Linked DNA regions of Xenopus tropicalis. The protein of the gene in region 1 purifies or fractionates together with the protein of each later gene. This does not show direct contact. Links are inferred from orthologs where the notes say so. Each region holds a gene or a part of one and is shown in the gene's direction. Other genes may lie near its edges.

Region 1 (3,519 bases):
CACTTTTCCATGAATTCTTGGCCCTTGTGGCTGAACAGAAATATAATTAAGCCTATTGTGTGATTGCAGGACAATGCAGCCATGTTGTGGCCTCTCATCTCATTCACCTGTCCCTTTCTGTTTCTGCAGAGTCACTGCTGCTGGTGGCAGACAAGTTTAATGGGGCTTCCAATGTGGAGAATATTGTAGGTGCAATCCACACCAAGATCTCTGAGGCAATAACCCACATGCAGGAAAACAAGGAACTCCTAACAAACAAGGTACAAGTGGGTATGATGGGCAAGAAACAGGAGATATGCCAAAGTAAAATATTGATTAAGGTACCCCTGTTTCCTACTCTGCCAGGCAGGTTGGTCCGTAGCCTGGTTAGGCTGAGATGAGGCCATACATTCCTCTTTTACATCTGGGATGAGAAAGGCTTATCTAAAAAAAGCTCATAAGGCTGTTGGGGGGTGTTGAGGATTTAGACATTTTGGGTGGCAGTTAGGAGATCAATGACTAAAATATTGTTTGTCCCAGTCATCCTGCCTTGCCGCTATCACCACTCACCCACAACACTCCCTCACCCTCCCCGTTGTCAGGTACTGACCATGGCCTTCCCAAAGATTTCTGTTACTACTGGGTAACAAACTAGAGAATTATCATGATAGAGATTATATTTACACAAAAGCCATATTCACTTCTCTATGTAGCTGAACAATGAGCTCTCTCCCACCAGGTGTTTAAGATCTGCGGCACTCCAAAAAAGACCAACAAAGGTTCCAAATCTGAAGAGAGAAGACGGAAAGGAAAGGCTACTCAGGAAGATAAATCTGCTGTTGCCACAATGGACAACCTGGTTTGTGCTGAATCTCCTGCCATTTCTATTTCATGTGTTCCTACATAGTGTATATATATATATTATTCTGGGTAGAAGAGTAATAATGTGGTTCTCTTTTGGGGAGTGTCATGGTACAGTCAGGAATTTGGAATGCAATACATGTCGCATAGTGCAGCTTTTAAGTTGATGAAGTTAGGAGGGGGTCCAATCAATGGAATGGAATGGAGTGTTGACATTCAGTCCTTCTGCTGTAGAAAAGCTGCATCCATAGGGCAGAGCGAGATAGAGCAGACAAGATTAAGGCCCAGCATCCCCACAATTTCATACCTGCCCTACGTTCCTAGCAGCACAATTGCATCCCTAAGCCATACGCCTACTGTTCACACAGGAAAATCAATAAAAAAAAGATTAGCAAGAAGACATAAGGGACACTTTCCTCATGGTCCAGTAACTCTTCAGACAGCCTTCTGTCAGTCATTCAGCCAGAGGGATAATAAATTCATTGCATGGTGCTCCCTGATAACCGCAGCACGGCCCTGTCCATTTATTCTGAAATTGATTTGCTTGTACAAATATTGATACGGGGAAATCAGAGCATTGTATCCATATAATAAGTCAGAACAGCCCCTTATTATTAAGGTCTAAAATAGTAAAGTTGTTACATTAGAAATGTGGCAGCAACAGACCTTGGTTTCTAGACTCAAGGGTAAGTGTAGGGCCAGGGGAGTGAGGCAGCTGGCACTGCAGGGAAGCCATAATCCATATCCATAATCCATATTCTGTCTGCATAAGCAATCCTCATAATTGTATGGACCAAGTGTGGCTCTTACAGTTATGAAAATAAATGATGCTCATATACTGGGATTCCATAAATTCCAAATGTAGTGTGATATGTTAGATAATGTATTCAGTTGGCTATAGGAGGCCCCAGCATGCTGAAATGTCATTAATACCCCAGAAAACAATGAACAGGCAACATCCACACACAAAATGCACTTGAGGGATATTGTATGTACCATTAAGCACACAATACCGAGGGCCCCTCTCTTACAAAACTTAGTAACATGACCAAGCTTAGGAGTACAGGAGACTGCTGAATTGCCAAGCACTCCAATCTCTCCAAGAAAATCTATGTATTAAGCAGCAACAGTATTGCATTCTGGGAAGATACGCCAGCCTCTGTAACTCAGGGATCTTTCTGACCTATAAATAACAGTTGAATCAAGTGCCATTTGTAGCAGCCACTTGCCAGTCCTAGTTTTGTTGCACTTCTCAGGCCAATGAATTCCACCAGGATTTGCTACATGGTGCTCTAATCTAAATTAGAATGGGTCCAATAACAATAAAAAAAATACAAATTGTTCATTGTCATTGACATACCAGTTATTCTTATTATTCTACTGAATTACCTGCTCTGTTGTATTTATTGTGCATAAAGTTCCATTTCCTGGTGCAAAGTGCTTACTAAGTTAGACATGACCCCAACATGTTAGAGACTGTTTATTCTCTAGCACTTTTTATATTACTGTTTCTTAGACAAAAATAAATACAGTTACTTGCCTCCTCCCCTGACTGGTACCCAACTGACCCAAATTATCCCCTGCATCCTCAGCACAGCCATGGGGTACTTAGCCTCTATAGTTTGGCCACTGTTCCTACCATTGGTTGCTACTTTAGAGACTCCGGTAGTAGAACTGCTGACTGCAGTGAATAAGTTATAACTTATGTATTATAAAAAACAATATTTCCTTTGTTGTAAAATATGCAGATATTAGAAGTCACCTTAGAGCCCATAGCCTGTATTGAAGCTCTCAGCCTATGGCTTGTACCCTGCCATTGCCAAGGTTCCTCATGGTGACTTCTAATATCTATATATCTTACAGTGGAATAGTAATAACTCCCGTTCCTTATACTCTTGTTTTGTTGTTAGATTTCAGATGTGAAAGGAATACTGAGTGATATTCAAGATTACTGGGTTTCTCTACCAAGTTTATTTTGCACAGAAAAGGTGACTGCTGGCCCGGGAAATGAGGACAAGTGCTGGAATGGAATAACTAAGGGCAGGTAAGAGATCTGGGGGCTGTAACTACATTAATCTTACTTTACAATTACATTTTGTAAACCATATTTATAATAATACAGTATGTATAATGATTCAAAAAATAGAATGATGCAGCTTTTGGGTGCCCTGCAGATCACTTTGCCCATGCCTGTTCCCTGCTAAGTAAATTCCTATAGAAGGATATTGTTATTTCAGTTCATAACTGCTGCTTGGTTGCTATGGGTCACTGGGCTGGGCGAATTGCACACTCTTCAGTGTAGCTGACAAACTGGAAGTTCTTAATGGGAATTGTTAACTGTTAAGTACACTTTTTTTTATATTATTTTTTTTTACAGGTTTTTGTTTAGAAACTTTTAAACATGGGTAGGGGGTAAGGGGATGAAGGTTAGACATGGTTGAGGTATTTAAAGCAGGTCAGGTACAATACATATACACCTTAGTAGTTAGACATCAACAGGGTATTACAAGACATATCAAGAATAATCAGCATAATTACAATTCGTTAGTCTTTGCCTGCGATTCACACCAGAAAGGAGAAGAGAAGATTTCTAGCCCATTGCGAGTGTCCAGTTCTCCCAGATTTTCTTGTGATGTTTGCTTTTGCCTTATTTTAGGTATATGCCTGAACCCATGGGTA
Region 2 (3,792 bases), about 27 Mb from region 1:
ACAAACAAGCCAAGGCACACATACATGCTAGGCCTCATCAGCCAATGAATGAACACTGTGCTTAAACCCTATCACACTGACTGCCTTTCCCGTTCCAGCCCCACATACGCTACCCCCAAAGTACTGGAAAGGGCAGGACTGACTCTCGCTGACATTGATGCCTTTGAGTTCCATGAAGCATTTGCGGTAAGCAAGTCCATTGGTTCAAACTTGTAGCCAAAATTGGCAGATATTTAATTTGGCAACATACAGCGGTGGTCCAAATCAAGGAGATCCTTACATTTAACCCTTAGACCAGTAGTTGGATCATACTTGAACTGATCCACTGTGTGGTGCCCCCTGAGGAATGGAGTCATCTACACGCACCTCGGTCACCTTCATAATATTATTCAGGGTGGCACAAAACAGAGGGGTGGTGGTTACTGGTGGCAAACTTAGGGGGCTGTTCCTGCTGAATTGTGCTTAGTACAGGGGAATCCCTATGTGCCATAGTTTTATGGTATCTCTCTGTACAGGCTATGGGCAAACTTAGGGATTCCCCTGTACTAAGCACAATTCAGCAGGAACAGCCCCCTAAGTTTGCTCATAGCCTGTACAGAGAGATACCATAAAACTATGGCACATAGGGATTCCCCTGTACTAAGCACAATTCAGCAGGAACAGCCCCCTATGTGCCATAGTTTTATGGTATCTCTCTGTACAGGCTATGGGCAAACTTAGGGGACTATTCCTGCTGAATTGTGCTTAGTACAGGGGAATCCCTATGTGCCATAGTTTTATGGTATCTCTCTGTACAGGCTATGAGCAAACTTAGGGGGCTGTTCCTGCTGAATTGTGCTTAGTACAGGGGAATCCCTATGTGCCATAGTTTTATGGTATCTCTCTGTACAGGCTATGGGCAAACTTAGGGGGCTGTTCCTGCTGAATTGTGCTTAGTACAGGGGAATCCCTATGTGCCATAGTTTTTATGGTATCTCTCTGTACAGGCTATGAGCTATTTCTGCTGAATTTTGCTTAGTACTATATGTAACCAATCCCTTTGTCCCACAGGGCCAGATCCTGTCTAATCTGAAAGCCATGGATTCTGACTGGTTTGCACAGAATTACATGGGGCGAAAGGCAAAGGTAAGTAGTTCCATATTTGTTCCCTGTCAGTTCTGAGCTCAGTGAGATCCATCACAGAAAGTTATTTTATTTTATAATCAAAATACCCTCTTACCCTCCCCTTACTGATACCCTCTTACCCTCCCCTTACTGATGCCCTCTTACCCTCCCCTTACTGATGCCCTCTTACCCTCCCCTTACTGAGACCCACTTACCCTCCCCTTACTGAGACCCACTTACCCTCCCCTTACTGAGACCCACTTACCCTCCCCTTACTGAGACCCACTTACCCTCGCCTTACTGAGACCCACTTACCCTCCCCTTACTGAGACCCACTTACCCTCCCCTTACTGATGCCCTCTTACCCTCCCCTTACTGAGACCCACTTACCCTCCCCTTACTGAGACCCACTTACCCTCCCCTTACTGATGCCCTCTTACCCTCCCCTTACTGAGACCCACTTACCCTCCCCTTACTGAGACCCACTTACCCTCCCCTTACTGAGACCCACTTACCCTCGCCTTACTGAGACCCACTTACCCTCGCCTTACTGAGACCCACTTACCCTCCCCTTACTGAGACCCACTTACCCTCCCCTTACTGAGACCCACTTACCCTCCCCTTACTGATGCCCACTTACCCTCCCCTTACTGATGCCCTCTTACCCTCCCCTTACTGATGCCCTCTTACCCTCCCCTTACTGATACCCTCTTGGGGCATCTCTTACAGGTTGGAGCCCCTGCTCTGGACAAGTTTAACATGTGGGGGGGCTCGCTGTCGCTGGGACACCCGTTTGGAGCCACAGGTTGCCGGCTGGTCATGGCTGCTGCCCACAGGCTGAAGAAGGACGGAGGGCAATACGGCCTTGTGGCAGCGTGTGCGGCAGGGGGGCAGGTACAGTACAGCTAAAGCCATTTCCTATAGGAATCTGTGCTCTTATAAATAAGTAGATCCGGCCTTGCTGAATGGCCTTATGTAACAGAACTAGGGATGCACCGGATCCAGAAGGATTCAGATTCGCCCAGATCCATGTTCCAGGCCAAACTGAATCAAAATTCTTAAAATCACATGTCTTTTCATTACATAAAGTTAAAAAAAAGCTCTTTAAAGGGGCGGTTCACCTTTACGCTGTTAGTATGTCATAAAATTGGCTAACTCTTAGCAACTTTCCAATTGGTTCTTATTTATTTGTTATAGTTTTTTAATTATTTGCCGCCTACTTCAAACAGTTGTGGTGCCCGAGGCCGCCACCATTCGCGTCCTTCCCTGGATGTGCATTTATGCTGCCCTAGGCCCGGGCCTTTATGGCCTCCCCACAAATCTGGGCCAATCTGTGAGGCTCCAGTTTTATTGTTATTGTTACTTTTTGTAACTTTTTCTATTCAGCCCCTCCCCTATTCATATATCAGTCTCTCATCCAAACCACTCCCTGGTTGCTAAGGTACCTTGGACCCTAGCAACCAGATAGCTGAAAATAAAATAACTAAAAAACTACAAATTAAAAACAAAGACCAATTGCGAATTGTCTCAGAATATCCCTCTCTACATCATAATGAAAGTTAACCCAAAGGTGAACACCTTTGTTAGATACAACAAAGAATTTGGTTCCGTATTCGGCTGAATCTTTCAGGACGGATTCGGGGTTCAGCCGGATGCCAGTGCACCCCTAAACAAAATTGGACATTTTTATATTAATCTTCATTTTGTTGTGATCAATGTGTAACCAAACCCTCTCTGTGCTGCAGGGACACGGGATGATCGTGGAACTTTACCCCCAGTAACGTGACACAAACCCATCGGACTCGTTATGGCTGACGCCAGTTTCCTGCACTAATTAACTGAGAAGGTCCCCTCCCCGTCGCCAAGAATGTCGCAGCACTGTAAATATTTTCTAGTTGCCTTGTCTGTGATTGGAATGAGTAATTGGTTTTCCAGAGCACTTGGTACGTCCCAGTTTGGAACGACCCATTGTGCAAGCTTAGTGCTGAGCTCTCCAGCTCCTGGGCTGCTCGTCTGTTTCGATTTGGCAGAGCTGAATCCTGTTAGACTTTGTGTTTAATAGACTGTAAAGCACTTACACCCAATGTACAGTCAGTGGTAGAATCAGCTGCAGCCACTTTACCAACGGGGGCGTTGCTACCGGCCCTTCTGCCTTAATAAACAAGATCTTCACTACTTGTCTCTGTCTCATTATGAAATGGTAATCAAAGGGCAAAATGATTTTCCACCTCTTTCCCATTTCTAAATGACACTGTTACACAGCAAATAATTCCCTCTGCCATTTAACCTTTTATTCTTGAACCAACAAATGTATTTGTAGCTGTAATATTGGTGTGTAGGCGCCATCTCAGTGCCTTGTGCCTGAGTCTGAGCTTTCAGCCAGCGCTACACATTAGAACTGCTTTCAGCTAACCTATTGTTTCTCCTACTCCCATGTAACTGGAGGAGTCCCAAGCCGGACTTGGATTTCTTACTATTGAGTGCTATTCTGATACCTACTGGGAGCTGCTATCTTGCTCCCTTCCCATTGTTCTGCTGATCGGCTGCTGGGGGGGGGGGGGGATATCACTCCAACTTGCAGCGCAGCAGTAAAGTGAGACTGAAGCTTATCAGAGCACAGGTCACATGGCTGTGGCACCCTGGGAAATGAAGAATATGGCTAGCCCCATGGGAAAAACAGATTACAAT

The links. Proteins that work in one complex are often made in the same cells at the same time.
Region 2: the proteins of gpc1 (region 1) and hadhb purify together in Homo sapiens (co-immunoprecipitation; 3 studies listed by BioGRID and IntAct, counting the BioPlex papers as one, with this or other methods). This does not show direct contact. The link is inferred for Xenopus tropicalis from reciprocal best matches to the Homo sapiens genes GPC1 and HADHB.

The regions. Positions count from the first base shown.
Region 1 is NC_030681.2:127,177,276-127,180,794, reverse strand, and holds part of gpc1 (glypican-1 precursor), read left to right. Parts: intron 1-129; coding exon 130-260; intron 261-718; coding exon 719-838; intron 839-2,750; coding exon 2,751-2,884; intron 2,885-3,496; coding exon 3,497-3,519. UniProt on the Homo sapiens protein: Cell surface proteoglycan that bears heparan sulfate. Binds, via the heparan sulfate side chains, alpha-4 (V) collagen and participates in Schwann cell myelination.
Region 2 is NC_030681.2:154,410,565-154,414,356, forward strand, and holds the end of hadhb (trifunctional enzyme subunit beta, mitochondrial), read left to right. Parts: intron 1-98; coding exon 99-186; intron 187-1,050; coding exon 1,051-1,125; intron 1,126-1,833; coding exon 1,834-1,998; intron 1,999-2,849; coding exon 2,850-2,885; 3' UTR 2,886-3,279; downstream 3,280-3,792. UniProt on the Homo sapiens protein: Mitochondrial trifunctional enzyme catalyzes the last three of the four reactions of the mitochondrial beta-oxidation pathway.